Oryza sativa Japonica Group: one gene and its partners. The protein of the gene in region 1 interacts with the protein of each later gene in a pairwise test. Links are inferred from orthologs where the notes say so. Each region holds a gene or a part of one and is shown on either strand. Other genes may lie near its edges. The genes, in order: FKBP12-interacting protein of 37 kDa, probable N6-adenosine-methyltransferase MT-A70-like and peptidyl-prolyl cis-trans isomerase FKBP12.

Region 1 (5,069 bases):
TATACACCCACAAAACGTGGTCTGGCATATATGTTTGGTATAGTGAAGTAAACATGACGTTTTCACTCAGCACAGGGCTCAATAAAACTTGGCACAATTATATATTTTTAGGGACTTGCATTGAGCTGAAATGCTCAGATTTCCTTTCAAACGACAAAATCTGATCTCAACAGAAACCATTATGTTCTCCAAATCCATCTCTTTTCCGTGCTAGCTCATCCTACTTCAGATCTCCATCATCATGCAAATCCTTCCTTCACCGAACACATCTTCCCCTGATCTACCCCGACTAGGGTTTAGGATTCGACAACCCCTTCTGTTTCAGGCACCGGCGGAATTCGGAATTTCGCGAAATCCGGTAGAAAACCGGTAAATTTCGAACAAATTTCATAAACCAAAATTTGAATACAAATTCCATGAGTTTGCCGACAAGTTCTCGAAAACTGGTCGGTTTTGGTGAAATTCCGATCGAAATCATCGAAATTTCGATCAGTAAGTGTTTCCCTTTTTTTAATTACGGTCGGTTTTGGCCCATGTAAGTGTTTTTCTTTTTTTAATTCTTTATTTTTTTTCTTTCCTAATGTAAGTTTCAGTAAATACACACAATACATCATTTGTTTTCGAAAATTTATATCCCAATAGATTCTATGAATACCATAATATTTATAAGATTTTATTTTATTTTATTTTATTTTCTTTTTTATCAATTCAAATTTAAATTTGGATAAAACTTCTCGAAATCTCATACGGTTTCTACTTTCAAGCCCTGTCGAAACATCAAAATTTCATGAAATCCGGTCGGATACGCAGCACATATTTCTTACTTTCTTAAATTTACATGAATAGCCGGCTACCGAGATACAAAGTTTACAAAAGTACTGCTTAGATCATGGGTCATCCATTTCATATGTATTCTGGATGTTTAAAACGGAAACTGTGCTGTAACGGTGCAAAAAGCATAGGATACCGAGTACAAGAGGAAGCTCACTGACGCACGAACTAAGAGAGTTTAGATTCAAGGTAAGTAGGTAACACGTCTCATGCTGCAGTGCTCAGACAAAGCGCAATGCAAATCGGCAAGAATAAACGACATTAGATAAATTACACAAGTAAACACTTCTGATACATGATACAAAAAATAATAAGAATGTTGAGAACGCAAGCTACTCTAGAAATGACTGCTGAAGGCGTAGCTTATGTTTCTACTTTTATTGGCTGACTCTCGGCGGCAGCAACTATATCATCTCCAGCGACGTCATTTTCTTGAGGTATTTTGTTCTCATCAGTTGCTTCTTTCTGGGCAAGCATCTCCTTCAATCTTCTCAGCTCTACATCTTTTGTTTCTAACTCATCTTGAAGAATGGCCACCTGTGAACGGGTTGTAAGTGAAATGTTATTTTACTCCCTCCGGGTTGATAATACTTGTTGTTTTGGAAAAGGGCACGGTCTCAAAAAAAAACAACTTTGATCATTATTTTTCATTATAATATGTATAAAAGTGTCAACAAATATATGATCTTATTAAAGTACTTTTTAAGACTAATCTATACATGTAGTCACCATATTTGAAAAACAAATATTTTAAAAATGATTTATAATCAAAGACTCTAAAGTTTGACCTCACCTTTGTCTAAAACGACAAGTATTATCAGCCCGGAGGGAGTAATAAACAGAAGAGACTTACAGTGGTAGAAATGATGAAACTTACCATTTCATTTGATCTTTCAACGTCATTTGTTAGACCATCCATGTGTTTATACAGCTCTGAAGACAACAGAAGGATGGTCAAATAACTCAATATTAGCAAAACTAGTGTTCAGTAAGAGCAGAAGGCATTGACTTCATAATAGGTTGGTAAATTAGAATATCTAATGGATCCATATTGACATATGTTAGACTTGCCATATAGGTTTACAAGTTCTAACCAAAAGAACAAAGATGACTAATCCTTAAAGTATATGCCTGATTATCCCTGGCACTAATTCCTAATTGATTCTAGGATGTGCAGCCAGTTCCGCTGAATTTATGTGATGCTTTCAATGAATTAAAAAGTAATGTTGTTTGCAGGTAGACTAAAACATAATATATTGAGAATAATTCAGACAATGAAATACAATTTCAAACAATTTCTTGGGGGAAACAAGCTGGCTACTGGTTTCTTGGTAGTATTCAGGATTTCCGTTCAATCAAGAACTCAGTTCACATCAATATAGTCCCTCAAGAGGAAACTTAGAGAAGTGAAGTTTCACCATTTTTTTAGTATGTTTTTAGAAGCCGCCTAATGAAGTAGATAGGTGCAAAATGTGTGCCTTACCTAAATTTAGTAACTTGAACATATCTGAATTTGTTTGGTCTGAAACCCCCAGCAAACCTCACAAAAAGTTTTGGTTATACTTCAAAAGCTTGGCTGTCATTTGGTTTGAAGCCAACGAATTTGGTGATGGCAACATTTTTAAAATCTAAGAAAATCTAACACCATGTTTGAGCAATCCATGGGAGGCCAAATGCTCACCCCAGCTCCCAAACTTCAATTATCCACAAATAGGTACAGCCATGAGACAATGTACCTTACGGGCGTTGGATCTGGCTGTGCCCAGATCTTGCCATTACCAAAAGATTGGTTTTGGTTGGCTGGAGACATTACAAACCTCTCCACAGTTAACAAAATTTGGTAAAGTTCACATGTACAACTTCAGCAAGGACCATGATACCGTAGCCCATTGATGCTACAGTAGGACCATTATAAACTAGTACAAGGCTAACACAAGCAATAAAAGATAAAAACAAGAATCTTTTGAGAATGTCAACAGACAGCATCACATGTCATTTCAAAAGCTGCATGTGGAACATGTAGAAAGTAATAATACTTATGGTCTTAATTGGTCGATCTAGGGTACTTGTAAGAGATTCAACCTCTGATATGATAGCACATTTATGGTTTGCTGCAGAGACTGCTATGAACATACTTTAATTCTAAATCTATAAGCCATGAAATATTAGACAGACTGAACACAATACAACCACGAAACAATCCCAGCATTCAGAGCCAATGCACTACGAGTACACTGGAAATTTCGTATAATGTGAGTACAGGAGACATGTCGCATCGCATCCTCATTTGGAATGATAACAACCTTGAAAATCCCATTCAGAAATCAAAACAGCTTCAGGAAGCCATGATTGGATATCACAATTGCTAGTTTGTTTTGGTCAAATGGAATCCTCATATACTCCTAGATTAACAAGGCCAAAAATACAAACGGTACTAATTGTAATATTAGGAATTAGGATAACATACACATGCACACAGCTACAAAACATAGACCTGGTAAGTTCTAACTTCAAATGAAATCAGGTGTAAATATTTATCAATGTGTCCAAACATCAAAGCACGAAAGACTGCCAAAGGCAAACAAAAACTCAGGGTATGTGAGATTTTCTTCTTCTTATCAATGTTAGTTTCATTAGCTTACTAGTTGGACTGCATATTCTAAACATGTGCATAAGCATATGCAACCTGAAATTCTTTTAGTTTAGCTTACTAGTTGGCTGCTTCTGCTATCAGCTGAGTACTAGAATTTTTAAGGCAAAATTGGTTTTAGAGCACCGAAAGTTCACATTCTTGTTTCTATAGCACCGAAAGTTACCGGTTCACTTTAATAGCACTGAAAATTGCCTCCGTTCCCCATTTTAGCACTTCCGTTAGTTTTCTACCGTTTGCCGTCAAAATTTTCCCCCCTCTCGAATCGGTTGCGCCATGGCAGCATCGTCCTGCCATACTGCCGGTAGTGGAAGAAGAGATGGCACAGCACGTGTAATCCTTCCACTGCTGGCCCCATCGCCTTGGATCGCTGCTCACCCTTGCTGGACCGATTGCTTGTCGTGAGTCATGACGACCAGTTCATCAGCTCTTCGGTGATGTGTCTCCAGCAGACTCACGTCCATCGCCGGTACCATTGATCCCCATCAATCCTCAATCCTGCATTCCTGCTAACAGGAACCCTCACCGGCATAATGCAACCATGGCCGGCGGAGTAGACGCAACGGCTTGCACGCACTAATTGATGTGCAGAACCGCGGAGTACTGTTGGGAGTGATGCAGCGAGGGGCTCCACGACTCATCTTGCGGCGTTGTGATTCCTTTTGAATGCAGATACTGCCAGTGAATCAAGAAGCCATTTTTCCCCTTCTTTCTTGCAGTACACATGTACAACCAGATTAGATTATACTCCATCAGTTAGTTTCCTACAGAAAGAGTATTAAGTTATCATTCGCTCGGTTGTTGCCTCCACGGTTGGCACCGGCAGATGGGCACCAGTACGACCAGCACCAGCCAGCAAAGCAGCGGGCAGAGGCTAAGGTCACCGCCGGCGAGACCTAGGGTCCGGACTGGTTGATCTCCATGATCTGGAGATTGGCTGAGCCATACAAGTCGACGTTGATGGCAAACAGAGAAAATTGACGGAGTGCCAAAAATGAGAACGGAAGAAACATTAGGATGCTATTAAAGTGAACAAGTAACTTTTGGTGCTATAAAACCAAATTTATGAACTTTCATTGCTCTAAAACCAATTTTGCCAATTTTTAATGATGGGATTCTGTAGACTAAAGAATGCAAAATAACTTCACATCCATTCTGTTTGATACTCACTGTAAGGGAAGAAACTTCTCCCCTTCTTTCCATGCTACTAATATTAAGCGTAAAATTCTTGTCTAATGAAAGATGATCAAGCCATCAGCTCTAAACATCTGTTTTCCCATATAGGCATTCAACGCTTTATGAACCTCAATAGTTCCTATAGTTAAGGGCTACACGCTAGTATAAAATTCACTACATTGTGCAACCAATATTAAACAGGAGGATGAATTAGTCTAGAGTTGAAACAATGTACGTAGTGAGCTAAGAATATAAAGTAGTTGTCCAAATTAATCATCAATGGGCAAAATGGGAAGAAAGGATTATAAAGTACTATCTCTATCCTTTATTATTTTTTGACGTTGGTTAGTTCAATTTGATATCTATACTACTTAAAATGTTAGTAGTGGTGGTGTCTGTTCTGCTACATCAC
Region 2 (5,703 bases), on another chromosome or scaffold:
CCATAATTACTCCAAACTGTCCTAAGATATCCATTCTGAAGTTTCGGATGTCACAGTTTATCCATTGAGCTTCTCCAAGCTCTACTTCTGAACAATATTCAGCTCTCTGGAGCCTTATTTGCCTTGGGGGTGCAAGAGCACCAGCCATCATTGGAGGTATATCTGGTGTTTGGTCAAGCTCGTAGTGGACATACTTGCAGGTCTACAGATTATAGGATATATGTAAGATACAAAAACACACATCATAATAGAGGAAAATACAAGGGTGTATATGCCATAGTCACCTTTGTGTGACGGCAAGTGTCGAGAAAAGAACAATCTCCTAGGTTTGTATCAGTATGAGGAGCAATAATACGGCGGAAATGGACCTGCTCAGAATGAAATATAAACAGTTACTTCCAGATTAGTTGTTACCATGAACAGCTAAAAGACCAGATAACAAAAGCTATTCAAGTATTCAAGGAAAAAAATGTGAAGATTTTGATTGGAATAAATTCAAGTAACCAGAAATAAGGCCTAATATGTTAACAGGATAATTTCATCGTCAAAGAGGCCATGATTGTGGATAGGCACATCATTTTAAGTGATTGAATCAAACACAACAGGTTTTGCTCTACTGTTGTTAAAAGTAGACAAAATGTAACGTGCGGAAGTACACATTGTGAAAAGGGGTGCAGGACACTATCACCACAGACCTTATCACAGGCAACAAAAGATCCACTTTGGCGTCGGCAATCTTCTTTAGTTAAGTTGGTACAATATTCCTTCAGCTGGGAACCACCTTTTGTTTTAAACTGCATGAACATAAAACCATATTAACAAAACAAGATGAATGATTTTCATGTCAACCATATTATTACAATTAAATGTGTAAGAACTGGAAGAGTGGAAGTTATAAGTGTCGAGAGGTTGACAATATATAGGCAATGCAGATGGGTCAAACAACATTTAACAGTTTTACTTTGACAGTCGCACTAATTCAGTGCAGAATCTAAGCAATTTATGATAAACCGTTCATTATAGCAGTGTGCCTCCGACAACTAGCTGTTATGCGTCCTATGATAGTTTTAACAACAGCAATGCATAAGTAGACCAGCTCACAGGGGCGGGCCCAGAGGGTAGTCCAGGTAGGCCCAGGACTACCCTAGAATTTGGCCTAGAGAAGATCAGGTATTTATTTTTTCTTGGCCCATGAAAAAAGCCTGGCCCAACAAACAAAAAAAACCCTAAGTCTCTTCTCTGTTCTCTCCTGTGCACTCTCCCCTCCCGACCGACCAACGGCGACAGCGCTCCCTCGAGCCGCGAGGCCGGCGCAACTCCGGCGCTCCCACCGTCCGGTGAGGCCGCTACTCACGCCGCCGCTCCTCCCGCCGCGTCCGTCGGTCGGCGGCCTCCCGGCTCACGCCAGGCGCACGCCCATCCGTGGCGGCAACGCCGCTGCCTTCGCGCGCCGCGCCGGCGCCCCCGCGGCCGCGCCATCTCCGCGACTCTGCCCCTGGCCGGCTGGCCGCGCCCTCTCCGTCTCACGTCCGGCCGTTGCCCAGCGGCCTCCCGAGCTCCCGGCTCCCGCGGTCCCGGCGTCCTGCCCGACGCCGCCAGCGCCCAGCCGCCCCTGCTGTAGTTGGCTCACTCATTTCTTAGTGAGCAGGTTGGAACCCAATCAAAACACAAACTTCTATATAGATTTATCAAGACTGAACTTATACAAGGTCACACAACTACACAGGTCTGCTGCAACTCTCGACAGCACACACGGCAAAGAAAACAGCAGCAACGCCACCTGAGAGGCTGAGACAGCAACGAAGAAAATGCAAGTCCAGGAGCGAAATCACAAGGCAAGGCTTGGATGGATTTCCTTGGCAAAAAACATACCGTACTCTTACAGACAGCAGGCAGCAAACCAGATGCAACTAATCACCAAAAAAAAACATGGATCAACCTCATCTCTTCAGGACTACCTCTGGACCATGATTCACTGCAGTCTGCAAACCAGCATTCCACATTAACTCGTGTTGCTAGGGATTGCAAGAAAATCAAGCAGGATCGTCCTGCTCTGATACCATGCTGTAAATTTTGGATGATTTGGACCTGGTGTCCCCCATCTCCTTGTATGCAATGGTCTTTACATTTAGTCCCTAAACATATACATATTCACTAAGACACATAACTCAACAGGGGTCAATTGAAACTGAAGAAGAACCGCCGCTGCTTTATGATGTTGATGATATTGAACATGATCCAGGCTTAAGGGCTTCTATTTCAAGTTTTGATGCCAACGATCAAGATGCGGCTAGAAGAGGGTACATTCTAAAAGGTCCATGCCAACTTTGGACCATTTAGGTAAGATTCAAACTTATTTGTTATTTTCTACTTGTATTGAACCATTTAGAGTTATATACCGTATCGTTTACCACATTTTATATCGAATCATATTGTATTGCATTCAGATTTTTTTTTTTGCTAGGCCTACCCTGGGTTCAAATCCTAGGTCCGCCACTGCCAGCTCATTTACTACTACAGGACTAACAGTGTGAGACTACATCAATAACAAATCAGCAACCCAAAGCATCACTAACTACACAGTGCAAACAACAAAACCACTAGCATAGGTGAAGGGAAAACAGACCTTCGCTGCCACAGCCGTCTCCTTCGCCGTGGGCCGGTGAATGAGATCTAAAAGTTCCTCCCCGGTCTTGGTGTTCTGCTTCTCTCTATATGTCTTTTTGTTCAGCAGCAACTCAAGATCCTTAAGTTCGTCCTCCTCGCTCTTCTGCTTCTGCTGGTTAGGGCTAGGCCCCACACCCCCACCCATTGTGATAACTCCAGCTGGTCCCATGAATGGCCGCTGCAGCGGCATCAACCCTGGTGGCACGCCGGGCACCCTCTGCATCCCCTGCATCGTCATGCCCCTTGGCCGTGGGAATATCGGAGGCATCGAATGCGGCCACATATCCGGCTGCGGCTGCTGCTGCTGCGGTGTTCTTGGTATCATTGCGCTGCCGGCATCGGTCTCAGAGGGGGGCATCTGGGGGGCTGGAGGAGGTTGGAGTAGCGGCAAAGTAGCGGATTCTGGCAGCTCCTTGAGGAGCTTGTTCCGGTCGATGGCCCAGACCATCGTCATCGACTTGCCCCCAATCATGGCCTCCTCGATCTGCACACCGCCGGTGTCCTCGGCTATGCGGCGGAGGGCGAGGACTACAGCGGAGGCCGCCGAGCCGCCGAGTTCGGCGGCTAGGTCAGCGAGAGCAGTCCGCTCGGCCTCGCTGGCGGATGAGCTCTCCGCCTGCAGGCGGCGGGCGAGCGCGGCGGCGTCGATCTCGGCGAAGGGGACGAGCTCCAGGAGGCACACGGCGACCATGGTGCGCACGGCGTCGAGGCCGCCGGGGGCAGCGGCGACGGAGGCAGGGGAGGATCCGGGCGAGGTCTTGCGGCGGGTGGAGCGCGCCGGGTCAGGGAGGGCGCGGCGGTGGTGGGGCTTGAGGGCGGCGGGGCTCTTACCGTGGCCGCCGTCGGGGTTCGGGGTGGGGACGAAGGGGCGGTCGTTGAAGGCGGCGATGATGCGGAGCGAGCGGTCGAGGGAGGGGACGAGGTCGGGGACGAGGCGCTGGAGCGATGCGACGAGGCCCATCTGCGTCTCCCGGCGGAAGCCGATGGCCTCCTCCAGGCTCCGGCACTGCTCCCGCATGGCGGCGAGGTCGTCGCCGCCGGCGTCCGCCTGCGCCTCCATTGCTGTTGCGGCTGCGGCGGAGAGGTCACGGGGGTTTGGGGGTCTTGCAACTCTAGATCGAGCTTGACACGACGCGATACGGCCTTGTTTGTGCAGCTACGTGGCGCTTGCACGGCCCGGCCTGTTATAAAGTCGAGCCCATTTGAGAAAGGGGACGCGGTGGCGGGCCCAATAGCTGGCCGAAAGCAGACAAGTTAACCTGCCACCTCAGCGAAAACCACTCTTACAATAATCTATGAAGTCAAATTACACCACAGCCTCATCTTTTTCTTTTGCTTATGCTTATCAGCCAAAATTTAAATTTTCAACTCTCAATTTGGAGTTGATTTTTGGGTTTTTTTTCATCGAAGTTTATTTTTCAGTCTTTACTTTTAGATCGCTAAAAACACGTGTATAAAAATTTTATTCACAAACTGTTTTTCGTTTGCAAATACTATGTTCTCTTATTCCACGACGGAGCCAGTTTCAAATATCTTTGCGATTAAGGAATTCAAATAAACTGGACTTATATTTTGAGGGAGTCCTACTGGACTTATTCCGCCTAGCCCCTTGCGTGCACAGTTGTGTGGAGGCCGAGAGGAGGCGGAGGGAGGCCGCGCTGGCAGACCACTTACTTGAAGGCCGACACCCACGGCCCACCTCACCGGCCCACACCCTCTTTTCTCAATCGGAAGTCGGAACCGTGGCGTCGCGTTGTGGTTCCTTTTCCTACTGGGTTTCGAGTCCGCATCTCGCACGGCTCCGCCCTCCCCCTTTTCTTCGGCGACACGGCGAAGGCGCAGACTGCAGATCGGAGACCACTCCCCTCTCTTAAACCCCCGGCACACGGCGGCGGCAACCAAAACCGATCGTCCAGAAACCCAGAAGGCACGCAGCGGCAGCAGCAGCCCACGGCAACCCTAGATCAGCCAGCCATGTCCCGCGCCGTTGACGCCCAGCAGGAGCCCACGGAAGGGCGCCGCTTCTACTCGCCGGATCGCCCCGAGGGCCTCGCCTTCCCCACCTCGTACCGCGCGCTCTACGACCTGCCCACCTCGCCGGAGTGCCTCTTCGAGGAGGACAAGTTCCGGCAGACCCGCACCTGGGGCGAGAACCTCACGTTCTACACCGGCGTCAGCTACCTCGCCGGCGCCACGTCCGGCGCGCTCGTGGGCCTCCGCCGCGCCGCCGCCGAGGCCGAGCGCGGGGAGTCCGCCAAGCTGCGCATCAACCGCGCCCTCAACCAGAGCGGCTCCGTCGGCCGCGCCTTCGGCAACCGGTTCGGCATCGTCGCGATGCTCTTCGCCGGGACCGAGAGCTTCGTCCGCGACCAGCGCGACGGCGCCGACGACTGGGTCAACACCGTCGCCGCGGGGGCCAGCGCCGGGGCGCTCTACCGCATCGCGTCCGGCCCAAGGTCGATGATCGTCGCCGGCATCCTCGGCGGAGTCCTGTCCGGCGCAGCTGTCGCGGGTAAGCCGATGCTTCAGAGATTCGCGCCGAAGCTATCCGCCAGATTGGATTATTTACGCTGAGTAAAATTTCAGGCTGAATTACTACTCAACATGGTGTGCGCCTGGAGAAGTTTTTATTCGTAGTATCTAGCTAGCAACTCTGATCTCAATTAATAGTTTGTAACTGTTCATATTTGGTGTCCTGCAAATTAATGGACAAAAAAATGCTAATCTTTTCGTTGAGAATCATATTTATACTAATACTATATACACTTTAAAAAATAAAACATAGTGGTGACGGTAACTCCATCCCTAACCGACCAATCGTTAGATCTTGATATGGGTCGGTTCATATACATCACGCACTTCAATCTTGGCAGACACGCCGATTCTTCAACTAATCGTTAGATCTCGGTATCGGATGCATATCCTTCCCACGAAGCTGAGTGCAATTTATTTGCCAGGTTGAACTACTACTCAATGTGGAGTTCCTGCCTCTCCCACGAAGCTGAGTGCAATTTGTTTATCAGGTTGAATTACTAC
Region 3 (5,642 bases), on another chromosome or scaffold:
GGAGGAGGTGACGGATCCGCTCGGTCTCCATGGAGGCGACGCGCCCTGCCTCACCCGCCTCGGGCCGGTGGGAGAGATCGATCCGGCGTTAGGTCTCCATCGGCGGCGGCCGCCGGTGGGGGGGAGAGATCGGCTACGGAATTTGGGAGGTTTTCGTGGGAAGAATTGGGAGGGTGCGGGTGGATGGCGATGAGCGGCGGCGCGCCGGGTGTGTCCCCGTGTTTATGGGGGCGGTACCGCGCTAGGTTGGGTGGCTTCGGAACGGTCCGGTGGGAAGCGAGCGGTCCGGTCGGGGGCACAGTGGGGGACTGGGGATGGATGGTTTGCGACAGTATCTGGTCTGGTGGAGTTGTAACAGCTCGGGAAAATCAGCAATATTATAAATCGTTAGATTAGCATATACTCCCTCGTCTAATAATATAAGAAATTTTGATTGTATAAGATATATCCTAGTTTAGATTCATAGTATGAAAAGAGTACAATAAAAGTGTTTTTAATGTGTTTGCATTATAAGCGTACATCTACAATAAAAGTTTTTTTAATGTGTTTGTATTATGAGCGTCTGCGTTTACACAATAGAAGTTATTAATCATGCATTGATCATTGTATATTTGTATTGTACCATGGTGCAGTTAATTTTAGAGAAAAAATTCAAAGAAAAACTAGCGATCCAAACCAATATATTGGTGTTGATACTTGTTCTACCACCATAACGATATATTGGTGTTGGACGTGCTAGTGTGTTTTGAACAAGATTTTTTTAGCGAGGTTAAAAATCCCATATTCAAGCCTTGTTACTTCTTTCTTAGGTTAAGCACATCATTTATTAATATTGCCATCTATTACTGGATAGGATACATCATAGTACTACGAATCGGATACATCACTATATTATATAGTACTAAATTGTTATATTATGGGATGGAGAGAGTATTCTATAACACACATTTTGTTTTCTCATAAGCAATTATCATTTCTTCTTTTGTTATGACGATCAAGCAAGAGAGATTACATGAGAGGCATCATATGTTGTTATTAGGAAGATTATGGGTTGTTTGGTTGATACCTAACTTTGACATAACTAAGGTTAGACAAGTAATATGTCTAAGAAATAGTTGGTTATAGCCCGCAGGGGGGATTTACAATTATGACATTGCAAACATTAACCTTTGCTATAATAACACTAGGCTCACATTTTATAGACACAGATGGACCCATTTGTCATCCACTCGGAGTGTCAAAACAGCGAAGCTCTCGTGTTTGCAGTCCCAATATTACAAATTTCTCGCCCGCATGTGTGATATGTTTAGTTACAAATTTGAAAGTGCGGGTAGGTCTTAAGAGTAAGAAAGTGTGCATAATTGTGAAGTGAAACAATCACATGACTAAATAATCGTGATATGACTAAAGTGTGGTATGGTAAAGTGAGACAACCAACCCATCACCCCCTTAGTCAATGGCCGGTCAGCAGCTTAATACGGCATTTGTAGCCTCACGACTAATATTGTATGGTTCTTTTAATAGGTTTTTCATAGGACGACACAAAATATATTTTTCGAGATCGTTATAGGAATGTAACAAAATATCGTACGCATAGTATTTTCCGTTATGTTTACCGTTATGTTTATGTTATTCCAGTTTCTTTCCCATGTTTTTATTTTTTGAGCGGTTTCCCATGTTTTTATGGTTGTGCGCAACCTATATACGTAGAGGTCGGATGCAATTTTATTGCGAAAAAAAAGAAGAAAACCATTGAAGCTGGACCGTAGGACTGAAAAGATCGTCTCTCCATCCAACGGCCCAGGAGACGCCGGAACAATTACACCACCAGAAAGTCGTGTAATAAAAAAAAGTAGTGGATTGGTGGTGTAATAAAAAAGGAATCTACTAGCGCTCTATAAGGGCGAGCCGCACGGCACCACCAATCCACCACTGATCATACTAGCACAGAGCGCCGCCGCCGAGGAGAGTCCAATCGAGAAGAAGGGAGGAGAGGCAAGCGGAGAGGAAGAAGAAGAAGAAGAGAGGATGGGCTTCGAGAAGACGATCCTGAAAGCCGGCACCGGTCCCAAGCCCGTCAAGGGCCAGAAGGTCACCGTCCACTGCACCGGCTTCGGTTCGCCGCTTTCCTCCCTCCCTATCTCCCCCAGAACATTTCCTTTCATGCTTTTTCTTTTCTTGGATCCGTGCGTGTGCTTAGCTGAATCAACCTGAGCGGTAAGAACAAGGTGGTTCGTTCCCAGATCCATTTCTTGTTGGATCTCATGTTTGATGCCAGGATTGTCTTTTGGATAGATGGTTTAGATTCAAATCGCAGCTGCTAGTTTACCTCTGTCCGGTTTGTGGATAGATTTCTGAGTTTCTGTTTTGGAGTAGTTAAGCCTAACTTGGTTTCCTTGCCATGCTGCTTTCTTTTCTGCAGGGAAAGATAATGATCTCGCTAAGAAGTTTTGGAGGTACAAAAACTATCCTTTTTCTTTTCTTGTTCTGTTGTAACTTGGATGGCGCGTCGCGTGGCGTTGGTTCAGCCAATGCTGTGTATTTGTTGTTTATGGGTAGAAAATTTATCGTTAGACCTCACAAATCAAAATTCTTGGAGGTAATTTTGGATAAAGTTATTTTCCCCCAAAAATATTCAGACAAGATAGAAATTTCATCTGATGTTGTGTCCTTTGTTTCTCTCAGCACAAAGGACGCAGGCCAGGAGCCATTCAGTTTCAATATAGGCCAGGGTTCGGTGATCAAAGGTAATCTCATCTCAAATAACTATTCAATTCATACACAATGATTCTGCCAGTTGGTAATCGGTGCATATGTTCCTAGATTCTGTGGTTACATGGTGGAAACAAAAAAAAAGTTGTTATCTCATCAAGGGATTAATCATCTAGTTATCCCGATTGCCAATTTCATTTTATTTCACGAAAGTAGTTCCTCGCATTGACTAATGATGAATAAGAACATGAGATCACTGCTGTTTGTGATTTTTTTTCAATTGTACAGTTGAGATTATCTAATCAGATTTATGATATAGCTAGAAAGGTGCACTGTTTGCCTTCACTGTTTATGTTGCATTTAGTTTGATCATAACTTGCCAGTTGTGTCTTCTCGTTATGATGACACACTCTCATGTATCCTTGATTTATTCTGGTTGCTATATAAACTGGTGTAAGGCATATTCGAACTGCAATACTGTATTTCTGTTGCTGTATAAACTTGTACTATTATTTTAGAAGTTCACCATACATTTCCAAGAACCAATCAAAGTCATATCACATCCCAAGCATTGACAAATCAAGTTGACTCTTTCGATTGAGGTATAACACTACTCTCTTGCTTATAGGATGGGACGAGGGAGTTATGACCATGCAAGTGGGTGAAGTTGCTCGTATTCAGGTATGCAGCGCTTGGGTTTCACACGTGTCTAAATTAATGTCTGCAAGTTTGTTTCTGGTTTGTTTTAGCGTCTATGTGTCTGCAAGTTTGTTTTAGCGCGATAAATCCTTTGCTGATTTATTCGGCATCTACTGTAAAATTTCCTGTTGCTTTGAAGTGCTTAAATGCCGAAGTGTTCAAATGAGCTTGAACTAAAGGGCTTTTTTACCTTTGCAAAATGTCAAGCTGTACCTATTTCCTGAGAATCCGTCTGTATATCATACTATTGTTATATTTGCTTTGCTTTCTGGCACCTGGCATTCTGATTGTTCTTGTTGCAGTGCACCCCGGATTATGCGTATGGAGCTAGTGGGTTTCCGGCCTGGGGAATTCGACCAAACTCAGTGCTGGTGTTCGAGATTGAGGTTCTTAGCGCCCAGTAAACGCATCATGTAATTCCGGATGGATCTAAAATTCCATGAGTACTGAAATAATTGTAACGTCACAACACTGCTGCGTGCTACCGCTGGAATGTTCTATGTTATTGACCAAGTAACGTTACACCATCGTCTATGGACACGATAATAAGTTTCGGGCCGTACATTTTCGTATTACTTTTGCTGAATTCGTCGTCTCTTTGTTATAACAAGTTTCATGCCGTTACCTTGTTGCATTACTTTGACTGAGACGGCAGTGGCAATGTGGCATACTGGCATGATATGTTCAGGTAAGCAGAAGGCCGTGTGGTGGTGAACTGGTGATGCTCAACCGGTGACGCCTCTAATTGGCAGTTCATTCCAAACTTATCCAAAATAGTTTATTTCGTACTGATGCAGCCAAATTTTGAATATTTAAACTAACTTTAAATTAAACTAGGTGGTTTTGCATCAAAGCCTTGGCTTTCAAACGGCGAAAAGTTACAGAAATCAATATTTTTAGTTGCTCTGTTTATTTTTCTTGGTATGTGCTCACTTTGTTTCCTAGCCAAACTCAAAACTTTTTTAGATTTGATCAAATTTACAAAAAAAAATATACATCTATAACACCAAATTAGTTTCACTAAATGTAATGTTGAATATATTGTGATAGTACATTTTGTGTTGAAAATGTAATTATGCCTTTCTATAATTTTGGTTATAAACTTTTTAAATTTGTTTAGGAATAAAATCAAACCAAATTAGTTTCACTAAATGTAATATTGAATATATTCTGATAGTACATTGTGTTGAAAATGTAATTATGCCTTTCTATAATTTTGGTTATAAACTTTTTAAATTTGTTTAGGAATAAAATCAAAGCTTATAATATAAGAGAGTAATAATTAGCTCAACCATTAAGGCAGGAGAAATATATGACGCTGAGCACCTATCAAAACATTTTGGAATCAGCCCGAAAACATACTCCATGAACTTCGCCAGAATCTCTAGCATAGTGGCATGTAGCTTTGCCTTTCACTAGCTCGACCACCATTACTATACTATACAAGCCGTCACGAACAATCAATTGTCCCGTCCATACATTAGAAGAAAATAATTTCTATCAACGAGTCATCGACCTCGAAACACTAACATTGGCAATTGTGTGAGCACAGATAGATGCTATCGATGATCTAACCTAAAGCATCACTTAAACTACACTACCTACAGTGCAGTCCAATTTTTCAATGCAGACCATCCCACAGGCAGCAGAAGCATACTTGAACCAGGTTTAACCAGCAAAGTATCATTTGATGGACTTATCTGGTAGGCCATCTTCTCCGGTCATGCACTTCAAGTCTTCAATGGGACCCTTCTGTAGCCTTGTTTTTTTGTTGTACTTATATCTTTATATTTTTCACATTTTTCCTTTACATAGATTCCCACATCTTCACTTTGCATCTTCCGCAGCATGTCAACACGTCCTTATTCTTCCAGTGACTGGTATGTACACCAAAAATGCTCAGTAATAGAAGCTAGAGTTCTTCTGTCGGGGTGCATCTTTGCAGAGGATCGACCGAACTTCCATGATGGATCTAGGTGGTTCCAGCTCCTTCTGTTGGATCGAATTACCCAGCAGCTGCTGCATCTGGGATGCAAATGTATCATCCAGCACCTGCAATGTTGCATGTTTATTTAATCATAGCAGAAAGGAGGAGCATCAACAATGGAGAACTAAATAAATAGGCCGTCACTGGCAAGCAGGGTGACATGGGGACTGTAGGAGCATAAACTTACAGATACTGCAACACGTGCGCCTTTGTACCAGGCTCTGTTTTCTTTGCGATTCTCCAG

Evidence for each region.
Region 2: the proteins of FKBP12-interacting protein of 37 kDa (region 1) and probable N6-adenosine-methyltransferase MT-A70-like interact in binary tests that used the Arabidopsis thaliana proteins (3 or more experiments, as listed by UniProt). The link is inferred for Oryza sativa Japonica Group from reciprocal best matches to the Arabidopsis thaliana genes FIP37 and MTA.
Region 3: the proteins of FKBP12-interacting protein of 37 kDa (region 1) and peptidyl-prolyl cis-trans isomerase FKBP12 interact in binary tests that used the Arabidopsis thaliana proteins (3 or more experiments, as listed by UniProt). The link is inferred for Oryza sativa Japonica Group from reciprocal best matches to the Arabidopsis thaliana genes FIP37 and FKBP12.

What each region holds. Positions count from the first base shown.
Region 1 is NC_089040.1:16,709,775-16,714,843, forward strand, and holds the end of FKBP12-interacting protein of 37 kDa, read right to left. Parts: intron 1,765-5,069; coding exon 1,709-1,764; intron 1,369-1,708; coding exon 1,195-1,368; 3' UTR 989-1,194; downstream 1-988. UniProt on the Arabidopsis thaliana protein: Probable regulatory subunit of the N6-methyltransferase complex, a multiprotein complex that mediates N6-methyladenosine (m6A) methylation at the 5'-[AG]GAC-3' consensus sites of some mRNAs.
Region 2 is NC_089036.1:27,845,088-27,850,790, reverse strand, and holds the start of probable N6-adenosine-methyltransferase MT-A70-like, read right to left. Parts: upstream 3,782-5,703; 5' UTR 3,728-3,781; coding exon 2,627-3,727; intron 795-2,626; coding exon 696-794; intron 369-695; coding exon 285-368; intron 203-284; coding exon 1-202. Other genes in the region: mitochondrial import inner membrane translocase subunit TIM23-1, read left to right, coding at 4,642-5,241. UniProt on the Arabidopsis thaliana protein: Catalytic subunit of the N6-methyltransferase complex, a multiprotein complex that mediates N6-methyladenosine (m6A) methylation at the 5'-[AG]GAC-3' consensus sites of some mRNAs.
Region 3 is NC_089036.1:32,511,455-32,517,096, reverse strand, and holds peptidyl-prolyl cis-trans isomerase FKBP12, read left to right. Parts: upstream 1-1,928; 5' UTR 1,929-2,028; coding exon 2,029-2,116; intron 2,117-2,422; coding exon 2,423-2,456; intron 2,457-2,685; coding exon 2,686-2,747; intron 2,748-3,340; coding exon 3,341-3,393; intron 3,394-3,713; coding exon 3,714-3,815; 3' UTR 3,816-3,986; downstream 3,987-5,642. Other genes in the region: uncharacterized protein, read right to left, coding at 5,311-5,463, 5,586-5,642. UniProt on the Arabidopsis thaliana protein: PPIases accelerate the folding of proteins. It catalyzes the cis-trans isomerization of proline imidic peptide bonds in oligopeptides. Mediates rapamycin inactivation of TOR protein kinase activity.